4 linked regions of the Notamacropus eugenii genome follow. The main gene of each other region encodes a partner of the protein of the gene in region 3 in a complex. Links are inferred from orthologs where the notes say so. Each region holds a gene or a part of one and is shown on either strand. Other genes may lie near its edges.

The links.
Region 1: CHCHD3 (region 3) and APOOL share a complex: the UniProt entries of both Homo sapiens proteins name them as parts of the mitochondrial contact site and cristae organizing system (MICOS) complex. The link is inferred for Notamacropus eugenii from reciprocal best matches to the Homo sapiens genes CHCHD3 and APOOL.
Region 2: CHCHD3 (region 3) and APOO share a complex: the UniProt entries of both Homo sapiens proteins name them as parts of the mitochondrial contact site and cristae organizing system (MICOS) complex. The link is inferred for Notamacropus eugenii from reciprocal best matches to the Homo sapiens genes CHCHD3 and APOO.
Region 4: CHCHD3 (region 3) and MICOS13 share a complex: the UniProt entries of both Homo sapiens proteins name them as parts of the mitochondrial contact site and cristae organizing system (MICOS) complex. The link is inferred for Notamacropus eugenii from reciprocal best matches to the Homo sapiens genes CHCHD3 and MICOS13.

Annotation. Positions count from the first base shown.
Region 1 is NC_092879.1:79,746,851-79,754,418, forward strand, and holds the start of APOOL (MICOS complex subunit MIC27), read left to right. Parts: upstream 1-4,372; 5' UTR 4,373-4,474; coding exon 4,475-4,489; intron 4,490-7,568. UniProt on the Homo sapiens protein: Component of the MICOS complex, a large protein complex of the mitochondrial inner membrane that plays crucial roles in the maintenance of crista junctions, inner membrane architecture, and formation of contact sites to the outer membrane.
Region 2 is NC_092876.1:453,112,288-453,119,803, forward strand, and holds the start of APOO (MICOS complex subunit MIC26), read left to right. Parts: upstream 1-4,408; 5' UTR 4,409-4,473; coding exon of another isoform or gene 4,474-4,482; intron 4,483-7,516. UniProt on the Homo sapiens protein: Component of the MICOS complex, a large protein complex of the mitochondrial inner membrane that plays crucial roles in the maintenance of crista junctions, inner membrane architecture, and formation of contact sites to the outer membrane.
Region 3 is NC_092874.1:116,872,803-116,880,669, forward strand, and holds the start of CHCHD3 (MICOS complex subunit MIC19), read left to right. Parts: upstream 1-4,777; 5' UTR 4,778-5,002; coding exon 5,003-5,083; intron 5,084-7,867. UniProt on the Homo sapiens protein: Component of the MICOS complex, a large protein complex of the mitochondrial inner membrane that plays crucial roles in the maintenance of crista junctions, inner membrane architecture, and formation of contact sites to the outer membrane.
Region 4 is NC_092875.1:73,701,496-73,708,984, reverse strand, and holds the start of MICOS13 (MICOS complex subunit MIC13), read left to right. Parts: upstream 1-4,335; 5' UTR 4,336-4,623; coding exon 4,624-4,652; intron 4,653-5,582; coding exon 5,583-5,757; intron 5,758-6,203; coding exon 6,204-6,255; intron 6,256-7,489. UniProt on the Homo sapiens protein: Component of the MICOS complex, a large protein complex of the mitochondrial inner membrane that plays crucial roles in the maintenance of crista junctions, inner membrane architecture, and formation of contact sites to the outer membrane.

The sequences.
Region 1 (7,568 bases), on a different chromosome or scaffold from region 3:
TGCCAAATATCACATAATAAAAAGTGTATGCATTGCCTAATTTTCATTTCCCTTCTACTTTCTCATGAAGATTAAACTTTTAAGTAGTTCTCATAGGAATCTGAAGGGTTTTTTCCCCATTTAAAAAATTTGATAAGACATTTTTCATCTAAAATATTACATATAGTTTAAATTCTCTAGGAAAATTAATAGTCACATGCTACCAATTTCTTAGTCTGAACCTCCTGTAATAACTATTTCATTAATTCAGCCAGTATTTCTAGTCTAAGACTCAAATCCTCTTTATTTATACCTATATTGGAATAAAAAATATTTCAATAGAATATTAACTTTTCATACTAGCATCCAAAGTAAAAGTTAATGTTACAATAAGCTATATTTGAAATTTTAATGGCTGATATTATGGATTCATCAACTAACTCATTAATAGCAAAGTAAATTTGTCTATAATAAAGACATTGACTATATTTCATCATTTCCCAGAAACTTTCATAGCTTTTATTAATATGAGTCCAAGTAGGAATAAATAAGCCTGAATTTGTAGAATTCTCAGACTAAGAATGACAATGAATGGTTTGCACTTATAAGAATATTATTGAATACTATGCAATTTGTGTTGATGCCAGTATATATGCAGTAAGGGAAATTTATAGTATGTGAGCAGGAAGAATCATTGAGGAACTATTATTGATTTAGAAATGCCCATAAAGTTACCTAATTTTATTGTAGACTTTTCTCACAAATGTCATCTTTTTAGTTTACCTACTCACACCTAAGGTCAAACAAATTTTTTGTGAGTGTGTGTGTGTGTGTGTGTGTTGTAACTGTATTCAGTATATTTCAAATAATTGGACATTTCCATGTTTTGATTCTTTGGATTAATTTATCACCAGTGACTAGAAAACAAATCTTTCTTACCCAAATTTCAATCCTAGTCACTGCTCCAAGGAACTCAGTGAAAGCTGCTATGCTGTATAGGCTTAGCATTCATTAAGGATTCCTTATTAAGAAGCCCAAGCATTTCAACTGATTTGAGGGGGGCGGGGGGGGAGAGAGAGAGAGAGAGAGAGAGAGAGAGAGAGAGAGAGAGAGAGAGAGAGAGAGAGAGAGAGAGAGAGAGAACATGCAGTGGTATTAAGAAACATTTTACTTTTGACGATGATGCTGTATTTGAAAGAGAAGTCCTGTTATCATGCCTAGTTTATTAAATAAGTGACATGCTCAGATTGGGAACCTGCTTAGAAATAATGTTTGTGTGTAAAAATGTATGGCACCTGTGTGGTATGGTTTACACTTTACATACATAAAGTATGATGTGGACTACAATAATATTGTTTATTCAGGGGTTAGAAACCACACTTGAGAATGGATTTCAACCTGTAGAGTCAATTCAATCTTAGAAAGCTCCAAGAGTACATTATGGGAAACCTGCTAACTTAAGAAGGTCTTTATGGCCTCTTCCAAATGAACACCATTATCACTATTTCTGTAGCAATACAAACCACACTTGTCTCTCATCAGGACTGTTTCTAACAACAGGTAAATCTGCTATTACGATTACACACTGCTACTATTACTATTCTTACCACTACTGATCTGTCTGTGGCACCTAGGATCATGGAGACTTCATGATTTGTAGACATTTTTGTTTAAGGATTATTATATATATGTAATATGTATATGCATAAATACATATACATCAGGGGTTCTTAACCTTTTATGTGTCGTGGACCCCTTTATAAATCTGGTGAAACCTATGGACCTAGTCTCAGAATCATGCTTTTAAATGAACTAAATATATGATTACAAAAGAAACCAATTATATTGAAATGCAGTCATCAAAACATTTCAAAAAAAAAGTTCACAGAGCCCAGGTGAAGAACCCCTGATGTACATATACATATATAGTAGAACTGATTTTTGTGTAATATCATTTTGATTCATTGACTGTTTTTCTTTTGAGTCATTGTCCATTTTAACTGCACAATATGTGGCTTTTAAAGTAGTTTTATTAACAAAAACTTCGCGGGGAAAAAAACAACAGAGTTTGAATTCTCAGTTTTCAAACTTACTTTGTCTGTTTTCACACTACAGATATTTCAAACCGATCTCCTTTCATTATCTCATCAGCTATGAATGAAAAAAGAAGACAGCAAATCATCTGATTTTGCTAACTGAGAGACTTGGCTTGTATTATCTTTTCAACATGGCTAATACAACATTTCATAAAGTTTCGGATTTCTTTAACCAACAGAAATTTTAACTTTTGTAGCTAGGATGTATACATTTTTTAATTCTTCTCTTGATCCATTTCATCAATATGAGCATTTCCTTCCACCCGTACAAATTGTAACCCATCCATGCCTTCTCTTCCTGTGGCATTCTAGTCCTTTCATAAATCCTTCATCCTGGATCTATCCAATTCATTGGAAGCCTTCCTGTAGTGCTTCTGACATTTCATTGGTCCAAATGCAGCGCTCGAACTGTCCATCTGTTATTCCACTTTCACCACATGACCAGTTTGCATCCTCTTCGGATCATACACTTTCTTGATGATGTCTTTATACATTTCATAAAGTTTCCATCTCTCTATGATCTCAAGGTATATTTCTTCTCAACACACCATCACAATTCCATACTCCAGACAGTAAGAAACAGAATCCTAGAAGGTGTAGATGCTACAGAGATAGGAAAATGTTATCGCTTTGGTTTTAGGAAAAAGTAAATTTCAACCCCTGGATAAAACTTTAAAGTATTCTTGATTTTGTATTTGTACTGTATTGACAGTTATTCACTAAGATTATATAGGCTTTAAATGTTGGTGATTTTCCCTTTTTGCTCTTCAAATGAGTTCTGTGTTGTAACTGGCTGTATTGTTTTCTATCACAGATTAAAGTGTTAACTTTCGTGTGTGATAAAATTTCGTGACTCGGTATCGTCACTGTGTGTTCTGCTCATTGGGTATGTACCTCTGGGCGCACCGCTCACAGCCCCGTAGTTGCGCCGCTGCCGCCGCTGCCGCCGCCCTCGCCCTAATATTAAGAAAACAACAAAAAAATAGAGCACCTGGTTCTTTTTTCTCCAAAAGCAAAGTGTCCCCAAAATGAAGCTTGCGTGCTTTTGAAGGAAACGTTCCACCTCCATAAATTCAAGAAATCTTTTGTTTTAGGGGGTTAATTGTAAGTTTCCATTGTAATCGGTTTTCCAAAAATCAGAAACCAATCCAAACTGTAACCCCAAGTACGTGGCTAGGTAGTTTGAGTACCTCCCAGGGCCCCTCATTTTAAGTTATCTGTCAACGTTACGTTCCTTTTCACCGCACACCTAATAATAACTCCCTTTGTTGTTTGTTTTATTTAGCACTTCAAGGTTTGAAAAGTGCTGTCCTCACATCACTTCCGTGGGGTAGGCAGTGCAGTTCTTACTATCAATGTTTTTTGGACGAGGAGACTAAAGCCCTGACAACGTAAGTGATTTGGTCTTGGTAACACAGCTAGTAAGGATCAGAAGTGGAATTTGGACCCAGCTGTCCAGGCACTAAATACAGCCGTCTCTAATAACCCCAGAATTTGGATCCCTTTCCCTTTTACTTTCCCCCAAGTTTAACAGAATGGACTAATTGCCTTGGTTTGGTTTATTGACGGGACCATTCCGCCTAACAACAAGTCTGCCCTCAGGCATAATAGTGTGGAATGCCACAACCTTTTCTTTAGCAGCTCTAACAAGCCTTTTATGCGTTCTCTTTCCTACAAAGGCCGAGCAAATTCGGGCCTACAAATCCCATCCTATCCCATGCCACCTGCATTTCTTAAGCCAGCGGACAAACGCCAGGTGCTTATTGTTAGGGCCTTAAGGAGTTAAGGACTGCTCAGGAGCATAGATGGAGAAGAACCATTAGGAGCAAAAAAAGAAGGCCCAGCTAGGGTGGGAGTCCCACCCCATCTGAGTGGGAGGGCGGCCGGCTCCGCTAGGTCCGCCCCTCCCCGGGCCCCGCCCCACCCCAGGCCCCGCCCCGCCAGAAGCCCCACCGGCGCAGGCCAGGGACCAACTTTAACATTATCAGCGCCGATGGGAACCAGCTGCCTAGGGCTCATTTAGCGCCCTCCTGGCACCGAAGCTCAAGGCTGGCTCCCAGAAGCGGGCAAACAATAAGGGCACCCACTCCTTGAGCCCAACGAGGGAAGCCCCATTGCCAGGCTGCCTTCTCTAGGACCGAGAAGGTGGCATGGAGGGAAATGGAGAGCACTCTCAGGCTTCCTCTTCCTTTCCTGACTCCGGGACTGGAGCTGAATGGTTAACCACGTGGGCTCTGAGCAGCCCAGCGCGGGATGGGGGAGGAAAAGGGCAGGGCGGAAGTGGGGAGGCTGGGGGGAAGGGGACCAGAGGGCGGGGCCTAGCCCAGAGAGTAGCCGGCGTGTCCCTCTCGGCTCCCCGTACAGGAAGCCCGGGCTGGAGAGGAGGGAGTCACCCGGACATGGCGGCTGCGGGGGTGAGTCTTGTCCCGTTCTGCTCCTTTTGGCTTTGTTGGCGGGGCCCAGAGACCCCGCCGGGGCGTGGTCCGAGAGCCAAGGCCCCAGGGCGGGCGAGGCCCTCGAGGCGAGGCGTGTGGAGCTTGAATGGCGGGCCTCCGAGGGTGGGGGTGGGGTGGGGAGCCGCTCCCTGGCCTTGACCTCTCCCCATTCTCCTTGTCCTCCGAGGGAACCACCTCACCCTGGAGTCGGCGTCGCTCCCAGTTTCCCCGTGCATCCCTCACTTCCCACTTCCCCACAGCTGAACTATCCCAGGCAATGGAGGCTGGGAGGAGAGAGTGGACACCAGACTGTCGCCTTGCGGAGCTTGGCTTTGGGGGAGGAGCGAAAGGGAGACCATTGGGACCATGAGTCAGCCTATCCCCGCCGCGCTTTTGGGAGGGGGTTACCTCGCACCCGGCGACTACGATTTGGGTGGGGTTTATTTCGGGGAAGACAGCCTGCAGGGAGACTTCGCCGTTCGTCCATTAGCACAGTTGAGATTTTTCTGGAGAACCTTGTGGCTGGGAAGCCATTTGCTTCCGTGAACTGCTCCCTAATCCTGGGAGCTTACACTGAGCTCATGTTATCCCCCATTTTAGAGATAAGGAAAATGGAGGTAGAGATTGGGCCTTGCGCAAGGTCGCAGTGACAGATAGTAAGTGACCCAAGCAGGGTTTCACACGGATCATCTCCTTCTACTCGCTCACACCGCCTTCTTGCTGTGGACCTAGCCTAAGTTTACAGCAGGAGGGCTCGCCATACACTATTTTGACAACTGCGTACGTAGGCCCTCTTTCGGGGTCCATATCATGGGGAATCAGCTTCTTCACCAGAACACACCTGTTATAGTATTATCAGGATCATCTTTATATATAAACTGCCTGCCCAAGTCATTGGGCAGTTTCCCTCAAAGCAAAAACCTGGACTGGTTTGGGGACAAATAAAGTCTGGTAAGTTTTGGTAACACTTAAGAGGCACCCTTCTTACTGTCTCTCCCTTGTTTTTCCCCCCTTCTCCTTTCTCCATAAACAGTCAAATTCATAATTCAAGACTGTTCTCTTTTTTAAAAATTTTATGTCTGAAATATGATTGTTAGTTGAAACCCAGACAAATTAAATCCAGATATTGAATGCTCTTGTACTTCAGTACATCTGAATTTAGGGTTACTTTTCCTGTTTGACAAGGTTTTTCACAGCACTGTTAACCATCCATATTTCTAGTGTAATCAGTCATAAAAACATGAGCGATAACGTCTAGATGGCCAAATCTTGTAAACATTCCTGAATGTTCTTTTACTCCGTAAAGTAATGATCTGAATATTTCATCAAAATTTTTACTCTGGCCTCTGCAAGGCAGTCTTTGTAGACCAAACTATTGTTAGGCGTATTTGTGGATGTGGCTAAATATTGGTAAATTAAATCTGAGGTTTAAAAATTGTTTTGTCAAAGATTCAACTGCTCCTCAAAATGATGTCTGTCTTATTTGTACTTGTATATGGTGGTCCTTTACAGCGATATGTTAAAGCTTACATGAATTTGTTGCATTTCAGAATCATGAAAGTGTTTTCTGTTAGTGAAAATTTTAAACAACCAATGTGATTATTGACTGGGGGGGGTGTTTCTAGTGTTGCTGTGAAAAAGATACTTTATTAAAGTATTGTCATTTAAATTGGGATTTGACTCTTAATGCTTAAAATCCTTATGACAAGTTGTACTCCGTGGCAAATAATAAAAGTTTGCTGATGAACTTTGAGCTTGCAAAAACTAAAAGGCTTAACCTATTGCTTTGATCTCTTGGTCTTAGAGCTGAACAAAGTGTGCTGAAATTAGTCATTTTTTTCTATAGCACTTAAAAGGTTCAGAAAGTAAAAAAAAAAAAACAGAAACCTGTGAGGTAGGGTAGGACAAGTATTGGTATCCCCATGTTACAAACGTTATGAAGTGATTTGCCCAGGCTCACAGTTGGGATAAGAAGCCAGAGTTTCTGTCTTCAAGTCACTTTTTCATGCTTGGTACATATGTTGGCTCCTTCTCTCATCCTTCCCCAGAGTATAGGTGGGATCTTATCATTTTGGTAGATCTCATAGTCAGGCCCCTCTTTCCCTTCCTGACTCTCAGCAGTTTGATTTATGACTGACTGGGAGGCAGGGTACAGAAAATACAGTTTTCAAAAGAAAATTAGTTGGATAATCTTAAAAAAGCAACACTAGAGGCACGTCTTAAATGCTTTCTGATGACAGTGGGATTGAAAGAAGGTGGCAGCAAGCTGCATTCCTCCCTAACACTTTTTCACCAAACCCCCTGAATAAGGAGTAAAAGGCAATATACACAAACAGGCAATTGAGGCCAGTCTTAGCCTCCTTAATTCAATTTAGCAAGTGTTTTTTCAGGGGCAAATAGTAAACATTTTATTAAGCACCTTAGGTCTCCAAGGAAGGCGTTGTCCTAGATGCTTTGGGTACAAAGATAAATAAGACAGGTCCTGCCTGGAGGGTTTAGTCTAGCAGAGGTAAGAGGTGTTCTGCATTCCAAAGAAAGAAGGCAGTGAAACACAGAACAATTCTATATTTACACATCTGGAAAACGTGCAAGTAGGGTGATAAAGAAACTAACTTCCAGAATGTTAGAGAACAGTGGGGAAAGATTTTAAACCTCCTCTTTCCAGTGTTCCTAGGGTGGAGGAGGTCAAAGTCTCAGTATGTGGGTTACATCTGACTCTCAAGTTGATAGTAACTCGGTCTACCTCCAAGACACGCCCACCCAGTGTTCCATGAATATTTTAATATAAATTATACTGAAACATACAGACGCAAGATAGGGACAAAATTCTCTCAGTTGAGAGGATGCAGAGATCATTTTTTGTGAGGAGATTAAGGCTTCATTAAGGAAGCAATTTCTAAGCTGGCAAGCAAGGGTTGGAGAAAAATTCTCTTGACCCAGATAGAGGAGGCAGTACTTTATTTCCAGGTTTAAGGTCAAAAATAAGAGTGGGCAAATCCCAGAGGACAATGTATTCTAGTTTAGCAGAAATAATGTAAGATTGGAAAGGTAAGTTGAG
Region 2 (7,516 bases), on a different chromosome or scaffold from region 3:
CACTTAAAGAATACAATTTTTATTGCATTCTGGTCAGAAAATGGTATATGGAATATTTCTGCTTTTCTGCTTTTGTTTGTTTCCAATTTTCCCCCTTGAATTCTCATTTCATTAAAAAAAAAAATTTAAACTCTTGCATCGCATCTTCCAAGAATTCTAGCTGAATACTTGTGCCCAAGCTGTTATTTTTATTGGAGGCTTTGCTTGCAGAAGTTTTGGAGACATTTTCTTCTTTTGGGTTTGGGTCTTGAGTGTCCCTGCTGCCAGAAGTTTTTTGGTGACGTTCTTTTTTTTTTTTTTTTCACTTGTTTACTATTTTAGCCTAATTTCTGACTCCAGACTTTGTTGGTTTTAGGCTCACTTCTGGATAGGAAGGAAAGTTTGCTTTGGTGCTGCTGCTATTTTTTGGGGGGGGAGGGACTGAATGTCGTGTTATTCCAGTCTCTCAGGGAGAGATCAGCCTGGAAAGCTCAAGATTTCAGTTTTCTTTTTTCTTTCAGTGCTCTCAGAGTCTGACCACTGGTCCCTTGGTCTAAGCTCTGCAAGTTCTTTACCTAGGTTTACATCTGAGCTGTAACATTAAACTGCACACCAAAGTGTCAAAGGAATGGCTCTTATCTCTCACCCCAAATAAACAATCCATTGCCCTATCTTATCCTTTCTGCCATCATAATGCTTCTTTTATATATCATATCCCATTCTTTCTCCTCACATAGCCATCTCCCTGGCTCAGGCTCTCATTACCTCTTGCCCAGTCTATTGCAAAAGCCATCTAGCTGATCTCCCCGCCTAAAGTCTTCTCCCACTCCAATCCATCCTCTCCTCAGCTGCCAAAGCAGTTCCTCTCAAAGCAGTTTTGACCATGTCCCTCCACTACTGTGTAGGCTCTAGCTACTCTCTGTCATCTCCAGGATCAAACATAAAGGCCTCTGTTATCATTTAGCATCTCCTTACACTCTTCCTCCCCGCGATCCAGACTTTGTGGTCCATCTGCCCTCCATCACCGTCTCAGTGCCTTTGCCCTGGCGGTCTGCACACGTGCTGGGCACTTTTCCCCCTCGTCACTGCCTCTTATTTCCCTGGCTTCCTTCAAGACTCAGTTTGAATCTCACCTCTGGCAAGAGGCCTTCATTGATTACATCCCTCCACTTAACTCACTCCAGTTACTGCCTCCCCTCTGAAATTACCTTTCATCTACTCCATATAAATCTTGTATATTCCCATCGTAAGCTATCTCCTCCATTACAATGTGAGTTTCTTGAGGGGAAGGACTAATATGGCATCCTTTGTGTCCTGGTTCTTGCCTCAATTGTAATAAACGTGACTGACAGACTATGTTATTTGTGTACGTCCTGATGTCATGAGTCATGTTCCCAGTATGTGATCAGGAAGTATACAATTTATTTTTTTAATCTCCCTTAGTACAGTGTCCTTTATGTAGAAGGTACCTGGTAAATATGTGAATCAAGCTGCATAATCTTACTGTGTATGAGAAAAATGCAAGGTATTATTTTAAGCCTCATGGATATGGACACAACAGCTGGAGTTCAAATTAGTTCAAAATTAATTAAAAAACAAATGTATGATCCATAAACAAGAGATCTTAAAACATCTTGGATAATGACACAAAGAAACTGGTACAAATGCCAAAATTTATACATATTCAACAATTGAGTACTTACGCTTTAAGGTCATCTAGTGGCAAAGCATCTGACAATTTTACTTCCTGAAATTCAGTTCCTAATTCTGCATCTTCTAAGTCTCCATCCAGCTCTGATGAACTTGAAGACATTTTTCACAATGAAGAAATCTGAAAGCAAAGAAAATTAACATAATTTCCATAATATTACATTGTTTGAAACCTAGTGAAGATAGCTTGTGTGAAATATTGATTATAATGCTAATTTCAAAACCCTTAAAATGTAAAGCAAAGATTTTTTTTAGGATGCTATTAAGTTTATAGAATTTCATATAATAGCAAACTGTGTTATTAATAAGATAACTGGATTAGGAAATAGAGGAACCAGATTCTATAATCCCTGCTTAATTTTTAACTAGCTGGGTGACCTTGGACAACTCATTTATGCTATCTGTTCTTTATTGGTAAAATGAAGGGCTTAGATTAATGAGGTTTAAGAGCCTTTCCAGCCCTGACATTCTATGACTAAGACATGGCATGGTGGAAAAAGCCTCATATTTAAGAGTCAAAAATTCTCGGTCTGTATTCCAGGAGGAAGCACTTCTAGTGGTATGATCAAGTTTGACCATATTTAATAGCTGTATGACTATGGAAAAGTCATTTAACTTCTTGGAGTCTCCGTTTACTTATCTGTCAAGAAAAAAAATACTTGCACAGCTGAGATTCAAATGCAAAGAGGTGATAACAGAAACCATGAGAGCGGAGGAGATCACCGTGTGAAGAGACCTAGAACCAGAGGTTACAGGTACAATCCAGCAAACTCTGAAAAACTTGCACCCTAAATATTAACGGATTAATATGAATTTCCATTTCTCGTTTTCACAGAATCATGGAACTTCAGCATCTGCACTTCAGAAGCTATCCAAACCTATACCTTCAGAAAATCCCAACAACATATCTGAAAATGCTCATCCTCCTGCCTTAGCCAGCTCTGGAAACAACTCATTGTACTTTAGGACACTTCTAAACACGGAGGCCTAGGAACTTATTTTTTTAAAAAAATATTTCTATGGCAAGATGACTGGTTTCTTTGGTTATCCTATGTATTTTAAAACATTCTGGGAAGGGTCCACAAGCTTGGCCAGACCGCCAAGACGGGGTCCAGGACAACAGGAAATGTTATGAACGCCTGCTTGGACTGGTTAATAGGTTTTTGTTACATTGTTATTACTAAGAAGAATAACTAGTATTTATAGAGAGCTTTAAGTTTGAGAAGCTTTTCACAAATACCTTGATTCTCACAACAACCCCGAAGGCAGGTGCTACTATAATCCCCAACTTAAGGTGAACAAACTCCAGCTGGGAGAGGCTGAGACTTGGCCGTGGTGACACAATTATTACCTGTTTGAGGCAGGATTTAAATTCAGGTATTCCTGGCTCCAAACCCAGCCCTCCCATTCATGGCACCACCTACATTATTATTCCCTTATATATATAGCCCAGCTCTGCCACTTTATTCCATGGGACTTTGGCCAAGTCAGCCCACTTAAGCGGGCCCTGGTTAGCCCACCTGTAAGACAAAGGGGCTGGCCCGGAGGACCTCCCAGACCCCCGCCAGCTAACTCGGACCTCTCTGGACCTTCTTTCCCTATGACAGCTTCCAGTTCTCCGGGAAGTAAAGTAAAACAAGCCAGCCCCTCCTTCCCACTGGACACCCCTAAGTCACCAGCCTCAGTTTCCTCGTTTGTAAAATAGGGATAAAGAAGCACCGAGCTCCGGGCCTTCCAGGACCCTCTGAGCCTGTGTCTGCCATAATGACAGTGAAGCTAAGAACGGCCACCATGTAACCTAGTGTTTGCTACAATGTGGCTGACAATTATCATCCGTTATCCAGACGAGCAAACTGGGCCAAACGGAGGTGAAGTGACTTGCTCAGGGTCACACGCAGCCCGGTGTCTGAGGCTGGATTCGAACCCGGCTCTTCCTTCCTTCCTCCCACCGGGCAGCTCCCGATCGGGGGGACATTTCCGGACCCCCCCAGGCTTTACCTCTCACTTCCTGGCCGCACTCGGAAGGGGCCTCCCACGGGCCCCTCTGCCTCGATCCTCACGGCCAGCCGCGACCGGAACCGGAGGGATCTCGCCTTGGCCGGATTGGGGGATTTTTTTCTTTTTCTCTTTTTTTTCTTTCCTTCTTTCCAAAGTCCGGTCCCCGGATCTGGAGACTCATGGGCAGCGCGGGGATGGATGAAGGCAGCCTCGAGCTTGCGCTTCGGGGAGGAGGGAAGCAAGGGCTCGGAGGTGGGAGATGACGGGCTCCAAGTTTTTATTTCATAATGAAAACAGGTCCAGGGGCATCAACAAAAAAAAGGCTCGGTGGTGGTAACTGACGACGATGGCGGGGGACAAAAGCGGCGGCGTTCGCGGGGTCAGCCCGAGGAGCAGCTTCTTCCACGTGTGTCCGTCAGCCTCCGCATCTGCCCCTCGTGCCGGGGCGCAGAGGGGACCAACGTTGACGGCAAGTGCCCCGGCCCTCCCGCAGCCCCCTCAAGCCTCTGCGGCCGGGCTGCCAGCAGCCTCGGCTACCGCGCGTGCGCGCGTTGTCCCCGCTGCCTAGCAATCCCGGGAGGCCCCTCCCCCTCGGTAGCTCTGACGACTCAGCTCCGGAAGGTGTCAATAAAGTTTGTACTACGGGTCGCCGGAGGTGTTCCGCGCACGCGTCGCTCTTCGGATAAGGCTGTCCTGACCGGGCCGCCGTAGAAAGCCTTTCCGCGGTGGGCGGGGCTAAACCGAGGTGACCCCCCCCAAGCCGGATCCGCCGCCGCAGCCAGCAACATGTTCAAGGTGAGCAGCTGTCGCTCCCTGCGCCCCCGCTGCGGGCTGCCGGGGCCCAGCTCCGGGTGCTGCCAGGGCCCGGGGCCCAGCGCCGGGGCCCAGCGCCGGGTGCTGCCAGGGCCGGCGGACCGCGCTCGAAGCGCCCAAGTCCCCTCCCCCCACGTGCGCACGCCTGACTCGTGGAGTGTCGAGAGCCGGCGCCTGGAGGAGGGCCAAGCGCTTTGCCCCTACTACTTCTTTTGGGCCTCGAAACAATCCGTCGAGGGAGGGGGCTCTGGTTAGGCTCCTGATAACCAGCCCCCGACCTGCCTTTGCAGCAACTCCTCACCCATCTCCCGGTTCCTCCTGCCTCTCCACCTGTGCCCTGGCCGTGCCCCCTGCCTGTCATGCCCTCCCTGCTCATCACAGCCCCTCCTTGGATTCCCTGGTTTCCTTTTAAGATACTGATCAAGTGTTCTCTTTCCTAGACCCTCCCTCCCTCCCTCCCTCCCTCCCTCCAATCAGGGTATTTACTCTAGCCGGCTTGGTGCTTGGAGCCTCCTGCCTGGAGCTCACAGCCAGCCTCCCACGCTGAATGGCTTGTTGACCCTGATCGATTGAACTTTAGTGTGGTGATAATCAATAGCACCCATCCCTCGGCGTGGTTGTGCTGATCATGCATGTGCGAACACTGCAGATCTTAAAAGTGCTAGAGAAATGCAAGCTGTTGCGGTTACATTAGTGCCTGGCTGTTACGGCTACTTTGTATACACCTGGATATTTACAAATTTCCCCTCCTTTGGAATTGTAAGCTCCTCAAGGTTGAGGTTAATTCGCTTTGTTATCCCCAGTGCTGGAACCAATTAGGCGTTCAGCAAGGGCTGATTGGATTTATAAAGTGAACAAACTGACACCGGGGTTGGAAAAGCTGGCCCTACTGACTGCAAGTTTAGCCCTTGGTTCTCTAGTCTGAGCAGGAGAGACACAGAGAAATGTGCGTGTGCGTGCACGTGTTTGTATACGTCTGCATATTTATTTATACGTGTATATCGTATACACGTGTACATGCATAGTGTATGTTTATGTAAAACTGTATGTGTATGTATGTAAAATACACCTGAAACTCACGTCTCCCTGAAGTGCCATCATGGTACTGAGTCACTGTCTGGAGTAAAAGCTTCTGAAATTGAAACGTTCATGGCTACTCCAAGGCCACAAGCGTTAATTAAGCACTAACCCTGAGTTATTTGTATGTACCTGTGCTAGGGAAGACAGAGACCACAGGAAAAACAGCCCGTCCTGAAAGGACTCTTATTCTTCTATGCTAAGCTATTATATACTAGGCATATATACCCTAGAGGTATTTCACCCCTTTGTGGGATCAGTTAAGCACTTATTTAATTTAGGTTCCCAAAGTGGGCAATGCTGCCCCTTGGGGGTGCTGGATCCATGGGGGAGAGGGACTGAATAAAAATAAGGGAGCCAGAGAAGCCGAAGGAAAGAAGAGAAGAAAAATTTGAAAATCCTTTCAATTTTCATCTCTTGTGTAATATAGTTAAAGTTGTAGTAATTATATTGTGTTCTAAATAAACACGTAAAATGCAAATTATAACCGATCAGTGATCAAGTCTTCAGACAGGTCTTAACAAGTAAGTGTTGGCAGTGAGGGAAGCCTGGAACGCATTGGCAGGAATATATGCAGGTAGTGACTTGTTTACAGTATGATAGTATACAGTTACATAATGCAATATTGTGTTATCAGAATTTCAATGCAGGAAAAAACCATAAGTTTACAATAAATTATTAAATTTATGATGCTTTTTTTAAAAAGAATTTATAGTTTTTCAAAATGATGTGGTTTTTTTTTTTAAAGAAAACCATTAAAGGGTTAAAGAAAGTAGATTTCTAGGGGGGTGCTGAGTAATTTTTTTTTTTAAAGGGAACAGTAAGGCAGATAAAGTTTGGGAACCTTTGGAATCTCGACACATCTCTCCAATAAACGATCCAGAGAAGTCAAACAGCCCCTCTTAAGGTGGTTACATTTTACCTGGCAGAACATACCTAAATAGGTATACACAAAGCAAAGCAAAATTGGGGAGAGGGAGGAGCAGAGTAGTAGAAGGTGAGGAGATTAGGAAAGACTTTGTGTAATAGGTATAGCTGAAGTTGGAAACAAGGGATCCTAAGAGGTGAGGTAGAAGTGTATTGGAGGTATGGTGGTAAAGCCAGCACAGAGATGGGAGAGTTTGGGAAGTGGAATAATGTATGATACGGTTAGAAAGATAGGTTGAGGCCAGGTTGTGAAGGTATTTAAAAGCTAAACATTAAATTATGTTTATTGGGGAGCCATTGAAGTTTTGAGTAGTGACATGGTTAGGCCGGTACTTGAGGAAAATTACATTGGCAACTCTGCATGGAGAATGGATTGGAAAATAGGAGAACTGATACAGGGAAACCGATTGGGACTCTTAAGTCTTCCAGGAGAGAAGCCATATGGGTGAACTAGTGTGAAGTGTGAGCTGTGTGAAGAGAGAGGATAAGAGTTGTGAGATATGGAGGAGAAGGGGCAAGACTTAGCCCCTCTGAGTCAAGGAGAAGGCCTAGGTTGGGAACCTAAATGACTGGAAGAATGGTGCTCTAGAAAAACGGGAAGTTGGGGAGGGTGATGCTTTCAGGGAAAGACTTCAAGTCCAATTTGGGGCATGCTGAATGTGAAATGTACAAAGATATTTGAGTTAAAATCCTGCTTCTCTGTATTGGGTCTGTGGACTGAGCTAGTCACTTTTAACCTCCCTGAGCCTATGGACAATGGATTCTGACTACTTACCTCATGAAAGTTGTTGTGAAAAGAATGGGGCATAAATTTATAGTTCCATATAAATTTGAATTGTAGTTCACATTGATAAAAACACTCAAAGGAGCCATAATATCATTGGGTGAACCCAGGTCACAGTGTAACTTTGGGAATCACTTAAAGGAAAAGAATCATGAGTCTGGTTCTGGAGCCTCTTAGCTACTTAATCTGCTTATGAAAAATGAACCTCTGGGCCAATTACTGAGACCA
Region 3 (7,867 bases):
CCTGTACTACCTGTCTTTGCTTTCATCTCCTGAAATGTCTTTTACAAATCTAAGATTGTTCATAAGTTCTTTGTGTAACCACATTGATATTTTTTGACAGCTTTTCCTTTCCATCCTCATCAGATCTGTTTCTCTTTATTCTCTCAGAATGCCATTCTTGAGAACTTCACATCCATCCTGGAAGTATGAAAGTACAGGACATGTTGGAAACACAGAGAATTGCCTCATTTGTCTGGAATGTAGAGTTTGTGGAGGGGAGTGATATCAGGCAAGAAAAGAAAAGTAGAGGGTTGTCAGATTGTGGATGATCTCGGATGTCATGCTAATGAAATTTAATAAGTTTGATATATGGATGAATGACCTGTGCTAAAAGGAATCAGAACTCAGATACATGCAATTATCAATCTTAGTTCCAGAAGAATAATGATCAAACATACCTCTCTTTTGCAGAGAGACAGTAGAATATGGTGCAGAATACTGAAAGATATTTGCCAATGTGTTTCTGGGTTTTGCCTTGTTGTAATTCTTTGTTATTACGAATAGTTTAAGGGAAGGTGATTAGACAGCAATGCAAAAAAAAAAAGCATCAGTAAAACAAAAAGTAAAAAAAATAAAGGGTCTGGGAAAATGTGATTGTATACAATGAGCTGCCCAATTCAAAGATACTGAAATATTTTCATCGAATCATGATTTCATCCATGGGGACACTCTTTTTTTAGCAATAAGATTCAAGGAAATGTTTACAATCTTGTCAGGGAGGAGGATGGGATGGGATGGGATGATATGACCACAAATAAGCTGAAGTACCAGGTAGGGGGCTGGTAGCATGGCATAATGCTGGACTGGGGTTCAGAAAGACCTAGGTTGAAATCCCACCTCTAACACTTACAGATTTGGGCTTATAATGGAGAAGTCACTTATTCTCTCTGAACCTCAGGCACCTCTCTAAGACTTAGCTAATAAATAATCATTCAACAATAACAACAATAATTGTGCAGGCGTGTGCTAAGTGCTTCATAATTATTCTCTCATTTGGTCCTCAGAACAATCCTGGAAAGTAGGTGCTATTATTATCCCCACTTTACTGTTGAGGAAACTGAGGCAAACAGAGGTTAAGTGACTTGCCTAAGGTTACAAAGCTAGTAAGTGTCGGAGGTTGGATTTGAACTCGTCTTCCTGACTCCAAGCCCAGTGCTCTTTCCATTGCATCGCCTAACTAGAGTCTAGCGGTCTGGTTGCCCCTCTCCATTGATCATTCTTTATGTTCGAGCTGACAAAATTTCCAGTTTACTTTTCTCTTATTTCCTATGATTTACAGTCAGCATCTGCTGAAGCAAAGCTCCTCTCATTCCATCCTTTCTCTCTTTCTCCTCTCATTCATTTCCCACTTAGCTCTATCCTTCCACAGTCCACATCCTCTTCCACCCTTCTGTTCCATAGCAAACTTTAGAATCCTGGCTCTACTCATAGATCACCTTCATTTAGCTAGAAGAGATCCTACAAACTTTCTAATCCAAGCTCCTTATTTCACAGATGGGAAAATTAAGACCTAGGGAGGTTGTTTGGGGCCCAAGGTCACATAGGCAGTGAGATGGGATCCATAGTCAGATCCTGTGACTTCCACAGTATTGTATGTTATTAACAAATTCCCCTCATCCTGGATTTGTTCACTTTCTTCCTAACCACCCGCCTCCCAGTTAATTAGTCTCCTAAATTCTCCTATTTTTCACTTTCATTCCATTGCATTCATATATAGGGATAGTCTTGTGCTTGATCTGATGGTCACCCATGACGGTTCCACCTCTGTGATCCAGAACTCTGAAATTCCTGTCTCTAACCCCTTCTTTTCCTTCAATCTCTTTCCCTGCCCCACCCCTCATAAAACTATTCTTTGCTTTCCTCATGTCCTTCAGTCTCACCATCCTATTCCTACCCAGCCTCACTTCTCTATCTTCAGTATAGATCCCCCAGTTGACCATTTCAGGCAGTTATTCTTGGATTCCTTACCCTCTTATCACTAGGTATGCCTTGAAAAGTGTCAACTTTGGATCACCCCCACCATCTAGCTTCTCTTCTACTCATGTGCTTCTGTATATTCCTGAAAAAAAAAAAAAAACACATACAACCAACCTGATTGGGTTCACTACAAATGCAGGATAAGTAATCTCAACTGTTCCATTACTGTGGCCTCACAATCATTTTATTATTCCCTGACTGATCACTTTCTCTATACCAGTTGTTCCACACAGCTTCCTTCCACCTCCCATACCTCCTCTCATCTCTTTCTTAGCAGGTTTCACCTCCTATTTTACTAGAAAAAAAATGGAGCCCATCCTTTTTTCCTCTGCTTCTTCCAAAGTGCTTGGCACATATAGGGACTTAATAAATCATTGCTGGTTGATTGATACATCCTTGATACACCATTTTCTACGTTCTGGTCTTTGATGCCAAAGCCAACTTCTCCATTTGTGTTTCTAATCCTATTCCTTCTAATTGCCTACTAGGCAGCAAAGTGGATAAAGGACTGTGCCTGGAGTCAGGAAGACCTGAATTAAAATCTAACCTCTGACACTAGCTGTGTGACCCTGGGTAAATCACTTAACCTCTGCTTGAGTTTCCTCAACTGCAAAAGAGGGGGCATAATAAAAGCACCTACCTTGTGAAGATCAAATGAGATAACATTTGTAAAATGCTTAGCATAGTGGGTGATATGGAATTACTTGTTTCTTTTCTTTCCCTATGATACCTTGCCTTCCCATTCATTCCTTCTCATCCCTTCATTTTAATTTGTCCATATCCATCGGCTCCTTTTCTTTTCCACACAAAAGTACCAAGGCTGGAACATTCTTTTTTTTTTTTTTTTTGAGGCAACTGGGTTTAAGTGACTTGCCCAGGGTCACACAGCTAGTAAGTGTCTGAGGGTGGATTTGAACTCAGTTCCTTCTGACTTCAGGGCCTGTGCTCTATCCATCTTGCCACCTAGCTGCCCTGATCTCCCACATTCTTAAAATTTTTTTACTTGACCATGTCATCCTTCAACAATCTCCATCGGTCAAACACCACGTATTTATTAAGCACCTGAGTCCATATTGGTCTGATCAGCTCTAGTTGGACAGATTGAAGCTTGACTTAGCATAGTGATGTCCTTTTGGGTACTTTCAGCAACCAAGGACAGCAACCAACCAACCAATATGGCACTATGCTAGGTGCTGGAGACACAAATACAAAGAATAAAAAGCCATAAGCTTACATTACAATGAGGTAATTACTTATTACTGTATGAAATACAATTATGTTCTTCCTTAAGTCACATGTAACATTTACAGTTTTATGTAATCTGGATCCCATCTAAACATGCTAGTGGTTTCATATCCTTCCTCTTTTTGCACTATTTCCATCAAGCTGACTGGTTAGCTATCTCTTGTAGTAGACCTTGCACCTCCCACCTGCCCTGCCTTTATACAGATGGTTTCCTCTATCAGGAATGCTCTACCTCTTCAATCTGCCTTTTAGAATTCCCAGCTTCTGTACAAAGCACAGCTTAGGTATCCATTCCTACGACCTCACAGCCTTCTTGAAGTCACTTTCTAAAATTTTATGCAGACTTTATAGAGCTGCTATATCCATCTCCTGCAACAGAATGTAAACTATTTAAGAGTGGGAACTGGTTTTTTTTTTTGGTCTTGGTTTCTCCGTTGCCTAGAACAGTGCCCTGTGTACAACTGAACAGAACTCCCCAGTTGTCAACGCCCTACTATGCCACCCAATCACAATTAGTTTGCATATTTTGTATGCACTTATCTGTCTATATATTGTACTTTCCAATATGATGCAAATTTTTCGAGGCCTGTGAGGCCTGTAACTGTTCCTTTCTGGGTTTTGAGTCCCCAGACGCCAGCCTAGCACATAGTAGGTTGTTCTAAAGAGCAAAGGAGCTGCTGTGGTAGTGTATTAACCTCTGCCTCAGTTTTCTCAGCTGTAAAAGGAGTGTAATAGCATTTGTCTCCCAAGGTTGCTGTGAGAATATTGAGATAATATTTGTAAAAGTTTTTAGCACAGTAGCTGCCACAGAAATGCTTAGGTCCCTCCCACCCCCTGCTCTTCACCTGCTAATCCAGAGAATCATCCCCTTGATTGATAAGGGCCTAAGAATGCTTGCTGAACCAACGAATGAACTGAATGAATGAAAGTACAGAGGAGGAAAGGATGGCAGAGTATATGAAATTACGGTAAATAAGGGCAACAGTGGATAGAGTGGCGGGCCCAGAGTGAGGGAGATCAGTTCAAATCCAGCCTCAGACACTTACAAGCTGTGTGACCCTGGGCAAGTCACTTAACCCAGTTTGCCTCAGTTTCCTCTCCTGTTAAATGAGCTGGAGAAGGAAATCCAGTATCTTTGCCAAGAAAACTCCACATGGGGGGAGAATCAGTCATGACTGAAACGAGTGAATAACGACAACAAAAATAAATGTAAAATAAGCGGGGTTATTGTATCTGCAGCTCTTTAAGGCTAAGGAGCTGTTCTTGCAGGTGTCTGTTAATTTCTGGCTCTGTAAGACTACAAATCCCAGAATTCCGTGCCCCACTTGGTTCTTCTCTCGTTTAAGTGGAAAGAGGCCTGAATACCCACCATTCTTCGCCAAACTACAAATCCCATCACACCCATGGGTTCCGGAAACTTTTCATTTCTGACGAGTTGCCATAGCATCCGGATCCGTGGCCAATTATCCGGGCCCCTGCAAGGAGCTGAGGCGGGTCTTTGGCCCCGCGGACCAATAGAACATCTATTCGCTACTGAGCATGACCGGAAGGATCCTGAGGGGAGAGCCCGGCGCTGTCTCCTTGCCGCTGTCCCTGGGGTGGCCCGTGTCTCACCCGCGGAGAAGGAGCAAGGGCAAGGGGGACCCGGGGCGGCCTCTGCTCCCGGCGGTGGGGGTGCGTGCGTACTGGACGGGAATCGGGGCCGCTCGGCTGCTGCAGGGCCACAGTGCGAGCCGGAGCCATGGGCGGGACGTCCAGCACCCGGCGGGTCACCTTCGAGACGGACGAGAACGAGAACATCACGGTGGTGAAGGGCATCCGGGTGAGTGAGGGGGCGGCGGGGTCGGGTTCCCGGGCCTGTGTCTCTGGAGCGAGGCCCGAGACCAGCCCACGTCAGAGTGGCCGAGGATCCCCGGAAGGGGCTGCGGACTTCAAGAGTTTGGTCTGGAAGGATCTTTAGATCCCAAGTCACCGCACTTAACAGATAAGGAAACTGAGGCTCAGCGAGGGGAAATGGCTGGTCGGAGACCCCTCCTGCCTCTCACTTCTCCTGGGCCTGGCGGAGCAGCCAGAGCCCTGCGTGCCCTCTCCGAGAGGCTCCCAGCCCGGGACCTTGACTGCCAGGCTGGGCCTCTGCAGGCTTCCCGCCCTGCCCCAGCTCCTCCGGGTCACCAGGGTCCCTGGCACCACGTGCCTCCCTTCCCCGCGCCACTTTGTGCCCGTGTCTTTGCGGGTTGGAGGGGTCTGGTTTTTCCTACCTCCTTATAGTCAGAGAACTCTGGAGCTGGAAAGGACCCTGGAGATCCTCCCATCCTGTCGGGCCAGCTCTCTCGTGTTGCTTCCTTTTACTTTCCTTTCTGTCTTATTTAGAGGAGAAAACCGGTCCTTCTTTAGAGAAGTGACTTGTCTAAGCTCCACAGGTGGCAGATCTGCTCGGATTCCTATTCCCCTGCCCTTTTTCTCACCTGGCACCAGCTCGTTCAACCTCTCCCCTCCCTCCCTCCCTCACCTTTTTATAATCACTCTAAGAAGCCCAGGGAGTTAGTTGGTGTGTAATGAGCAAGTGTCTGTTAGTGTAGCGTAAGACTGAATCAGCTTGTTGTGGAAGCATGTTCTTGGTTATAGCTGATCTCACATTTCTTACCTCAGTAGGTGGGGAAGGGGAAGAAGGGAGAAAATTTAGAACTCATAATTTTACAAAAAGGATGTTAAAAATAAACGAAACATTAAATTTGTGTAAAAAATATTGAATCAGCTTCAGATAAATGTTAGAATGGGATTTGTATTATTCCTGTATGAAGGTAAATGGTGTACCAGTCCCTTAGGGTGGGTATAGTCTTGTTAACTTCACCCATTATCCATCACACTTGTTTTTGGAAGTAGGATGTCTAAAACTAACAAATGAAATTATGTTTAAAGAATGTTGTAATAATAGCTATACATGTAAACACACCCTTATTTGTTCTGTTGTTGCAGAACCAGCCAGATTTATTAAAGTGTTATCTTTTAATAAATGATTACCAGAAAATAAGTTATATAAGTAGTTGGATAATTATAAGCTTTATTCTTTGAATGTGTTGCCATACTAAGTGAACCAGAACTATGAAATCGTAGATTGTGAGAGAAGGAAGCGACCTCAGCAGCCATTTAGTTGAAATTATACACAGCTTTATACACACAATCCCACTATAACATCTGATATACTGGTCATCCAACTGGTTTGAAGATTCCCAAGGAGAGGAACCCTGCCACATCTCTAGGGAGGTCATTCCTCTTTTGGATGTTTTAGGAATGTCCAGTTAGGAAGTTTTTATAGTTAATAAGCCTAAATTTATTTCTTTGCAGATTCCACCTATTGCTCCTGGTTTGGTCCTCCAGGTTCAAATAGAAGGTATCTAATTCCTTCTTTACACAACAGCCCTTTAAATACTTAAAGACAGCTATCACATACCTCTCTTCTCTAGGCTAAATGTGACTGGTCCTTCAGTTAATCCTTATATGCCATGGACTCAAGTCTCTTCACCATCCTGGTTCCCCTCCCTTAGACACCACAGTTTATCAATATCTTGTTTAAATATTGTGCTTGCAAAATGAACACAGTACTCCAGATGGTGTTTAATGAGAGCAGAATATAGTGAAACTAACATCTCCTTATATTTGGAAGCTAGGTCCCAGGAGCCTATTAGCTTTTTTGGTTGACACACCACAGCTCACTCTTATTGAACTTTCAGTTCACTAAGACCTCCAGATTATTTTTAGAATAACAGCTCTCTGTTCATGCCTGTTTAGTTCAACTTTTTTAAAAAAATTAATTTATTTAACTTTTAACATTCATTTTCACAAAATTTTGGGTTCCAAATTTTCTCCCCATTTGTCCCCTCCCCCCACCCCAGAACACCAAGCATTCTAATTCCCCTATCACTAATCTGCCCTCTCATCTATCATCTCTCTCTGCCCTTGTCTCCATCTTGTCTTTTGTCCTGTAGGGCCAGGTAACTTTCTATACCCCATTGCCTGTATTTCTTATTTCCTAGTTGTATGCAAGAACAATACTCAACAGTTGTTCCTAAAACTTTTGAGTTCCAACTTCTCTTCATCCCTCTCTCCCCACCCATTCCCTTTGGAAGGCAAGCAATTGAATATAGGCCATATCTGTGTAGTTTTGCAAATGACTTGTGTTCTGTGAGACTAACTATATTTTCCTCCATCCTGTCCTGCCCCACATTGCTTCTATTCTCTCTTTGGATCCTGTCCCTCCCCAAGTGTTGACTTCAGATTGCTCCCTTCTCCCATTGCCCTCCCTTCCATCATCCCCCCCACCCTGCTTAACCCCTTCTCCCCCACTTTCCTGTATTGTAAGATAGGTTTTCATACCAAAATGAGTGTGCATTTTATTCCTTCCTTTAGTCGAATGTGATGAGAGTAAACTTCATGTTTTTCTTTCACCTCCCCTCTTTTTCCCTCCACTGAAAAGTCTTTTGCTTGCCTCTTTTATGAGAGATAATTTGTCCCATACCATTTCTCCCTTTCTCCTCCCAATATATTTCTCTCTCACCCCTTAATTTCATTTTTTTAAGATATGATCCCATCCTATTCAGTTCACTCT
Region 4 (7,489 bases), on a different chromosome or scaffold from region 3:
CCACACCCCACTCCAGGACAGCATGCACCCCATCCACCCCTTCCTCCAGTCTGTCCTCTCTTTCACCACCCAGCCTTCTTCCATCCCCCTTCCCCCTCTATCTTCCTGTAGGGCAAAACAGATTTCTATCCTTCATTACCTGTATATCTTAATTTCCAGTTGCTTGCTAAAACAACTTTTAACATTCATTACCAAGGCTTTGAGTTCCATATTCTCTCCCTTCCTCCCCACCCACCCCCATTGGGAAAACAAGCAATTCAATATAGGTCATACATGTGTAGCAATGCAAAGCACTTCCATAACAGTCATGTTGTAAAAGATTAACCACATTTCCCTCTGTCCTCAATCTATTCCATTCTCTCCTCTGACCTGACCTCCTACAATAGTACTTGCTTCTGATTATCCCCTTCCCCAATTTGCTGTCCCTTCTATTATCTTCCCTCTCCTATCCCCTTTGCCCTTGTCTTTCTGCAGGGTAAAATAGATTTCCATATCCAGTTGAATGTGTGTTATTCCTCCTTAAGCCAAATCCCATGAGAGCAAGGCTCACTTATTTCCTTTCATCTCCCCCTCTTCCCCTCCATTGTAAAAGTTCCTTCTTCCCTTTTCCATGTGAGATGATTCACTGCATTCTACCTCTTCCTTTCTCCTACTCCCAGTACATTCCATTCAACAGTAAATTTTATTTTTTTATGTATTCTTCCTTCACATTAAGCTCAACCCGTGCCCTCTGTCTAGATATACATACACATATATACACACATACATACATACACCCATGTACATACGTACATACACCCATACATACACCCATATACATATATAATATACACATCCATACATACCCATACACACCTACATACATATATTCCCTCTAACTACCCTAATACAGAGAAAGGTCTCATGAGTTACAAATAACATCTTTCCATGTAGGAATGTAAACACTTCAACTTTAAGGAGTTCCTTAAGGCTTCTCTTTCCTGTTTACCTTTTCATGTTTCTTTTGATTCTTGTATTGGAAAATCAAATTTTCTATTCAGCTCTGGTCTTTTCAACAAGAATGCTTGGAAGTCTCCCATTTCATTGAAATTCCATTTTTTCTCCTGAAGTATTATACTCAGTTTTGCTAGGTAGGTGATTCTTGGTTTTAATCTTATCTCTTTTGATCTCTGGAATATCATATTCCAAGCCCTTCAATCCCTTAGTGTAGAAGCTGCTAAATCTTGTGTTATCCTGATTGTATTTCTACAGTACTTGAATTGTTTCTTTCTGGCAGCTTATAATATTTTCTCCTTGACCTGGGAACTCTGGAATTTGGCTCCAATATTCCTTGGAGTTTTCCTTTTGAGATGTCTTTCAGGAGCTGATTGGTGAATTCTTTCCATTTCTATTTTACCCTCTGGTTCTAGAATATTGGGACAGTTTTCCTTGATAATTTCTTGGAAGATGATGCCTCAGCTCTTTTTTTGATCATGATTTTCAGGTAGACCAATAATTTTTCAATTATCTCTTCTGGATCTGTTTTCCAGGTCAGTTGTTTTTCCAGTGAGATATTTTACATTGTCTTCTATTTTTTCATTCTTCTGGTTTTGCTTTATAATTTCTTGGTTTCTCATAAAGTCATTACCTTCCATCTGCTGCATTCTAATTTTTAAAGAACTATTTTCTTCAGTGAGCTTTTGAACCTCCTTTTCCATTTGGCCAGTTCTGCTTTTTAAATCATTCTTCTCCTCACTGGCTTTTAGGACCTCTTTTTGCCCTTTGGGTTAGTCTATTTTTAAAGGTGTTATTTTCTTCAGTATTTTTTTTGGGTCTCCTTTACCAAGATGTTGACTCACTCTTCACGATTTTCTTGCATCACTATCATTTCTCTTCACAATTTTTCCTCCACCTCTCTTACTTGATTTTCAAAATTCTTTTTGAGCTCTTTCATGGCCTGAGATCATTGCATATTTTGGTGGGAGATTTTGAATATAGACACCTTGACTTTTATGTCTTCCTCTGATGGTATGCGTTGTTCTTCCTCATCCAAAAGGATGGAAGAAAATACCTTTTCACCAAGAAAGTAATCTTCTATAGTCTTATTTTTTTCCCTTTTTTGGGCTTTTTCCCAGCAGGTACTTCACTTTTGAGTCCTTTGTCAAGTGGAGGGTATATTCTAAGGACCTGTATGTTCTCAGTTCCTCCAAGGTAGCACAATCAAGGGAGAGAAGTTTACTCCTATCCTGGCATGCACTCTGGTCTGTGAGCAACCACAAGCACTCTTTTCTGCCCTGGAACTGTGAGTAGCATTTTCTCTCCACAGCCACCACCAGCTCCACCTCATTAGTACTCTACCTCACCCCAGGACCGCCACTCAGGGCTGAGATTCAGATCAGCTGCTCGATTCCTTCAGGATCTTTAGGTCTAGGGTTCCAAAAGTGGATGCTGTTGTTGCCCTGGGGCTGGGGCTGGAGCAGGACCATGTTCCCCTCTCACCCAGGTGAAAGAGCTTCCTTACTGACCTTTGAACCTGTCTTTGGCATTTGTAGGTTAAGAAATCTGGGAACCTCAACTGCTACCCATGATTCTGCTCCCTGAAGCTTTTTCCAGTCCTATCCAGGCTCTGCTGCATGCCCCAGGCTGGGCTGCGCTCTGCTCCACCCAGTGCAATAGACCTTTCCTGAAGGCTTTCCAGGCTATCTTGGGCTGGAAATCTGTTTCACTCTGTCATTTTGTGGCTTCTGCTGCTCTAGAATTCATTTAGAGTAATTTTTTACAGATATTTTATGGGCTATGAGGGGAGAGCTAAAGGAGGTATATCCTTCTACTCTGCTATCTTGACTCCACCCCCCTTTCCTAGCAGTTTTTGTCAAATAATGAATTTTTGTTTCAAAAGTTTGGATCTTTGGGTTTATCATATATTAGATTACTATGGTCAGTTATTATAATGTAATTTCTATCTAATTTATTCCACTGATTCATACCAGATTGTTTTGATAATTATTGCTTTGCAATACATTTTGAGATCTGGTACAGCTAGACTTTTTTTTACAAAAAAATATTTTATTTTATTGATATTATTTTATTGATTCCCTTGATATTTTTGAGCTTATGCTTTCCCAGATGAATTTTATTATTTTTTTCTAGTTCTATGAAATAATTTTTGATAGTTTGATTGCCATGGCGCTGAATAAATAAATTTATTTAGAATTGTCATTTTTTTATATTAGCTCAGCCTACTCATGAGCAATTAATATTTTTCCAATTGTTTAGATCTGACTTTATGTGTGTGAAAAGTGTTTTATAGTTGTGTTCATATAATTCCTGGGTTTATCCTGGCAGGTAGACACCCAAGTATTTTATATTGTCCACAGCTATTTTAAATGGAATTTCTCTTTCTATCTCTTGATGCTGAACTTTGTGTGTAATATAATAGAAATGCTGATGATTTATGTGGATTTATTTTGTATCCTGCAACTTTGCTTAAGGTTGTTAATAATTTCAAATAGTTTATTTAGTTGATTTTCTATGCATGCCATCATATCATCTGCAAAGAGGGATAGTTTTGTTTCCTCATTGCCTATTCTAATTCCTTCAGTTCCTTTTTCTTTTCTTATTGCTATAGTTAGCATTTCTATCTAGTATGATAATCATTTAATATCACTTTTGGACCTCAGAGAATACTTCTTCTATGTCAACAAGGTCAGATGGAGTTGACTTAAGAGCATTCTTTCCTCTTTTTAAGGATGAGACCCTCAATCTGAGACACTATCTTGAATAATGAGACTTCTCCTGTATCCTAATATTTTGTGGACATATACTGCTTATGGCATCTTAATGGTAGAGAAAACACAGATATCCAGGATCATAATTGCAAATGAAACTTTGTCAGCTCTCTTATCTGATGGTATTTACCACCTATTCAATTCAGAAAATTCCTTTCTCATAACATGGTTAAACTTATATGGAGGTCATAAATTTGAGTCACACAGACATGCTGAGTTGGGATTGCTCTAAAACTTCTTTCAGCCTGGTCATTCTTGTACGGGACAGTCAGAACTCCAGCTCTGGCTCCTTGTTGGCACAGGTGAAGCTAGCTTCAGCTAGGTTTAAGGGAATAAACAATGTGGACCGACATACCACCTGCCTCTTTGCCCTCCTTCAACCAAACTTTCAGGTTGACAAATGTTAAATAACAGAGGTGACAATGGGCATCTTTGCTTCACCCCCATAGTATTGGGAAGGCTTCATCCCTGTTTTCTGGAGGAGGAAAGTGTCTGACTGAACTAGGTTAAAGTCACGCGGCTAGCCAACATCTGAGGCAGTGTCGCCGCCGTGGCCCCCCGCAGCTCTGCAGCGCACACTAGGACTACTCCACCGGGACCTTCCTTTAGCAGCAGAAGCCCAAGCAGAAGGGAAGAAAAGGCCAGAAAGACTACAACTCCCAGACGCCCTAGCGGGGCTCCCTGTGTCGAGGACTACAGCTCCCAGAGGCCGCAGTCGGGCCCGCCCCCCGGCTCCCAGGGGCCTGAGCTCGCGCGCTCTCGTCCCGGGCCCGCCCCGGGCGCAGCGGGGACCTGGTCGCTGGCGGGCGGAGCTCTGTGTCCTTGCGTGGCCGCAGAGCAGCGAAGCTCGGCGACCATGGCTGTCCGCCTGTGGCCCGTGTTCGGGTGAGCGCGCGCGCCCGTTTCTCGAGTCACGCGGGGCGGGGGAGAGGGAGGGGGTACCCCACCTCCATCGCCCAGGAGCTGGGCCGGAGCCTGGACGCAGGGCCGGGCAGGGCCGGGCCGGGAGGACCGTTGTAGGCCTAGTGACAGCCGGGGCTGGGGGCGGGAGGAAGGGCGAGACCCCGGAGAAGTGGGTCCTTCCCCCGAGCCTCGTCGCCCTGGTGCGGAGGCCAGCGTGGGCCTGTGCCCCGGGCACGTCGCCGTGTTCGCCAGTCAGCTGTAGCATGGGGGTGCTGGGAGCCCCGGCCGCGGTCGGGGCTGGGTGCGAGACGGCATCGCCCGCCTGAAAGCCCTGCCGCGGGACCCGGGGGGCCTCGTGCCCGCTGGGCTGGAGTCCGGTCCGGGGCTGGAGAAGCGCCAGTCAGCGCTTAGGTGTTGATCGTAAAAAGAAAGACGACCCGAGACGGCTAAATGAGCTTGCGTAAAGTGCTCTGCGGTCCGTAAAGCTCTGGAAGTGACGACCCGGACCGGACGCTCCCCTCGTCTTCCCCCTTCCCCCCAGATTCCGGGTCTCTGCCCCGCAGGGAGCCGCAATGGGCACTGCCGGAATTAGACTCCAGCCCCTCTGGGGGAGGGCAGGAGCCGCTTGTCCTCCGCGAGCCTGAAGGGAGAGGACGGCCATGGGGGTGAGGGGCGGGCAGAGAAGAAACCCAAAGTGATGCCGCCCCTGCCAGGCCCGGGCGGAAAGGAGCTGGAAGGTCTGACCAGCCCCCTGGTTTGCTTGGTTTTCACATGGGGAAACTGAGGCCTGGCGTTAGGACCCGGCCCCTGGGCCACAGGAGGAATCTGCGGTAAACTGATACAGGGATCTAGGTTAGAGTCTCGGTGTTGTGAGCATCCCACCAAGCGTTTCTTCTCTCGCCATTCCCCCAGGTTTTTCATTAAGGCCGGCTTGGCCGGTGGGTCCGTGTACTTCGTTTACGATCAGGGGCTGCTGGGGTCCAGTCACCAGGGTCAGGCTGCCCTGCGGAGGGCGCAGCAGGCCATCCCAGGCGCCTTCACCCATTACTCTGACTTACTTTCGAAGCACATGGGATTCCGGTTGGAGGTACCACGAGGGGTGGGGGGGAAGGTTAGGGGTGGAGATTGGTCCAGAACTTCATGGGCAGAAGGCAGAGGAGATGAGCTTTTAGGAAAAGGGAAAGTGTCTGCCCTTCCTGGGACAAAGTAATAACATTTCTGGTCAGTGGGATGGGGTGGGGGGGCAGGGTGAGGACAGGCTGGTCTGAACTACCTGGGCACTCTCACCTGACCTTCATGAAGCCCTTGGTGATTGAAGGCATTCATTTTGTGACTCCAGCTCTGACTGGGCCAGGTTTCGGGCTCATTTTGGTTATCTGATGAAGTCCTGGATCCAGGCTCAGAGCAAGCCTCTGACTTTGAGCCCTGTTTTGTTGCATCCTGTAGGCCCCCCACTGTCCTCCCCAGCAGAGCAGGGAGGTGGGCATCTGATGTTGGAGCAGGTGATTGATGCTCCTTTTCCTCTTTTTTCAGCTCCCACCCACTCCATATTTCAACATTAACCTTCGAGACTACTGGAACTCAGGTAGGACCATGGGCTCTATTACGCAGAGTCTGCAGCAGTAGCCCTTCTGCTGAGGAGGAATGCTGCTGTCCAGACACTTCCCTGCTCTCTGGACCACCAGGCCTAGCCCCCCACCTTTGGCCTCTTCCCCATCCCTCCACCCCAGGAGCTCCCTGCATTGGCAGGATCAGAGGGCAGAGGGACAGATGACTAGCCATGGGACTAACCCTGAGGGGTGGGCTCCTCACACAGAGTAGGGGGCATTTGAGCCACTCTCCAAACACCCACACTTGTAGCATGTCAGAGCCAGAAGGAACCTCAGAGATCATTTAGTCCAGTGCCACCTCATTTTATAGATTGGGAACATGAGGCCCAGAAGGGGAAGGGACTTACTCAAAATTCCCTTGTATGTCACTGGCAAATGCTTGCTGTTTGGCTGGTTGACTCAACAGAGTCCTGACCGTTAACCTGGAATTCTGTATTCTGTAGAATGGGCCTCAGTGAGGAAAGTCGTTGTGACTATTTATTAAGTGTCGGTTGTGGAGTCAAACACGGGCCAAGTGACAAGCATTTATTAAGTGTCTACTATATGTTGGGCATTGGGGATACAGAGACAAGATGAAGCAGTCCTTGCTCTGAAAAGAAGTTTATGTTCTGTCAGGGGAAACAGCACCCATAAGACATACGTATACAAAGCATACAAAGTTAGTGGACGATCACTGGGGGAGAGGGAGAAGGAATTAGGAAAGGCCTCTGGAGCTGGCTCTTGAGCTGAGCTTGGAAGGGAGCCAGGGACCCAAAGAGGTGGAGGGGAAAGGGCTGGCAGCTCAGGGGTCAAGGACAGCTTAAGCAAAGGCACAGAGGTGAGAGATGGGATTCTGGGTTTGAGGAATAGCAAGAAGGTGAGTTTGGCTGGAATGCTGAGTGTGTGAAGGCGGCTTATGGATAGTAAGCCTGAAAAGAGGCGTTGGAAGCTGATTGTGAAGGCTTCACATGCCACACGGAGATTACACCTTATTTTAGAGGCTGAAGGGAACTAAAGGAAATAGAAGCTCTTATCTGATGCCCTCGGGGCCTAACTAATTGACACCAGGTTGGTGGGAAGGGGGAAGGAAGAGATCTGAATTACAGAAAGTTTTGAAAAAAATCTGGCTGCTAGGAAAATCAGTTGAAGGAACTGGGCACAGCTAGCCTGGAAAAAAGAAAATTTGGGGAGGGAAAACAACAATCTTTAAGTATTTGACAGGCCATTGTG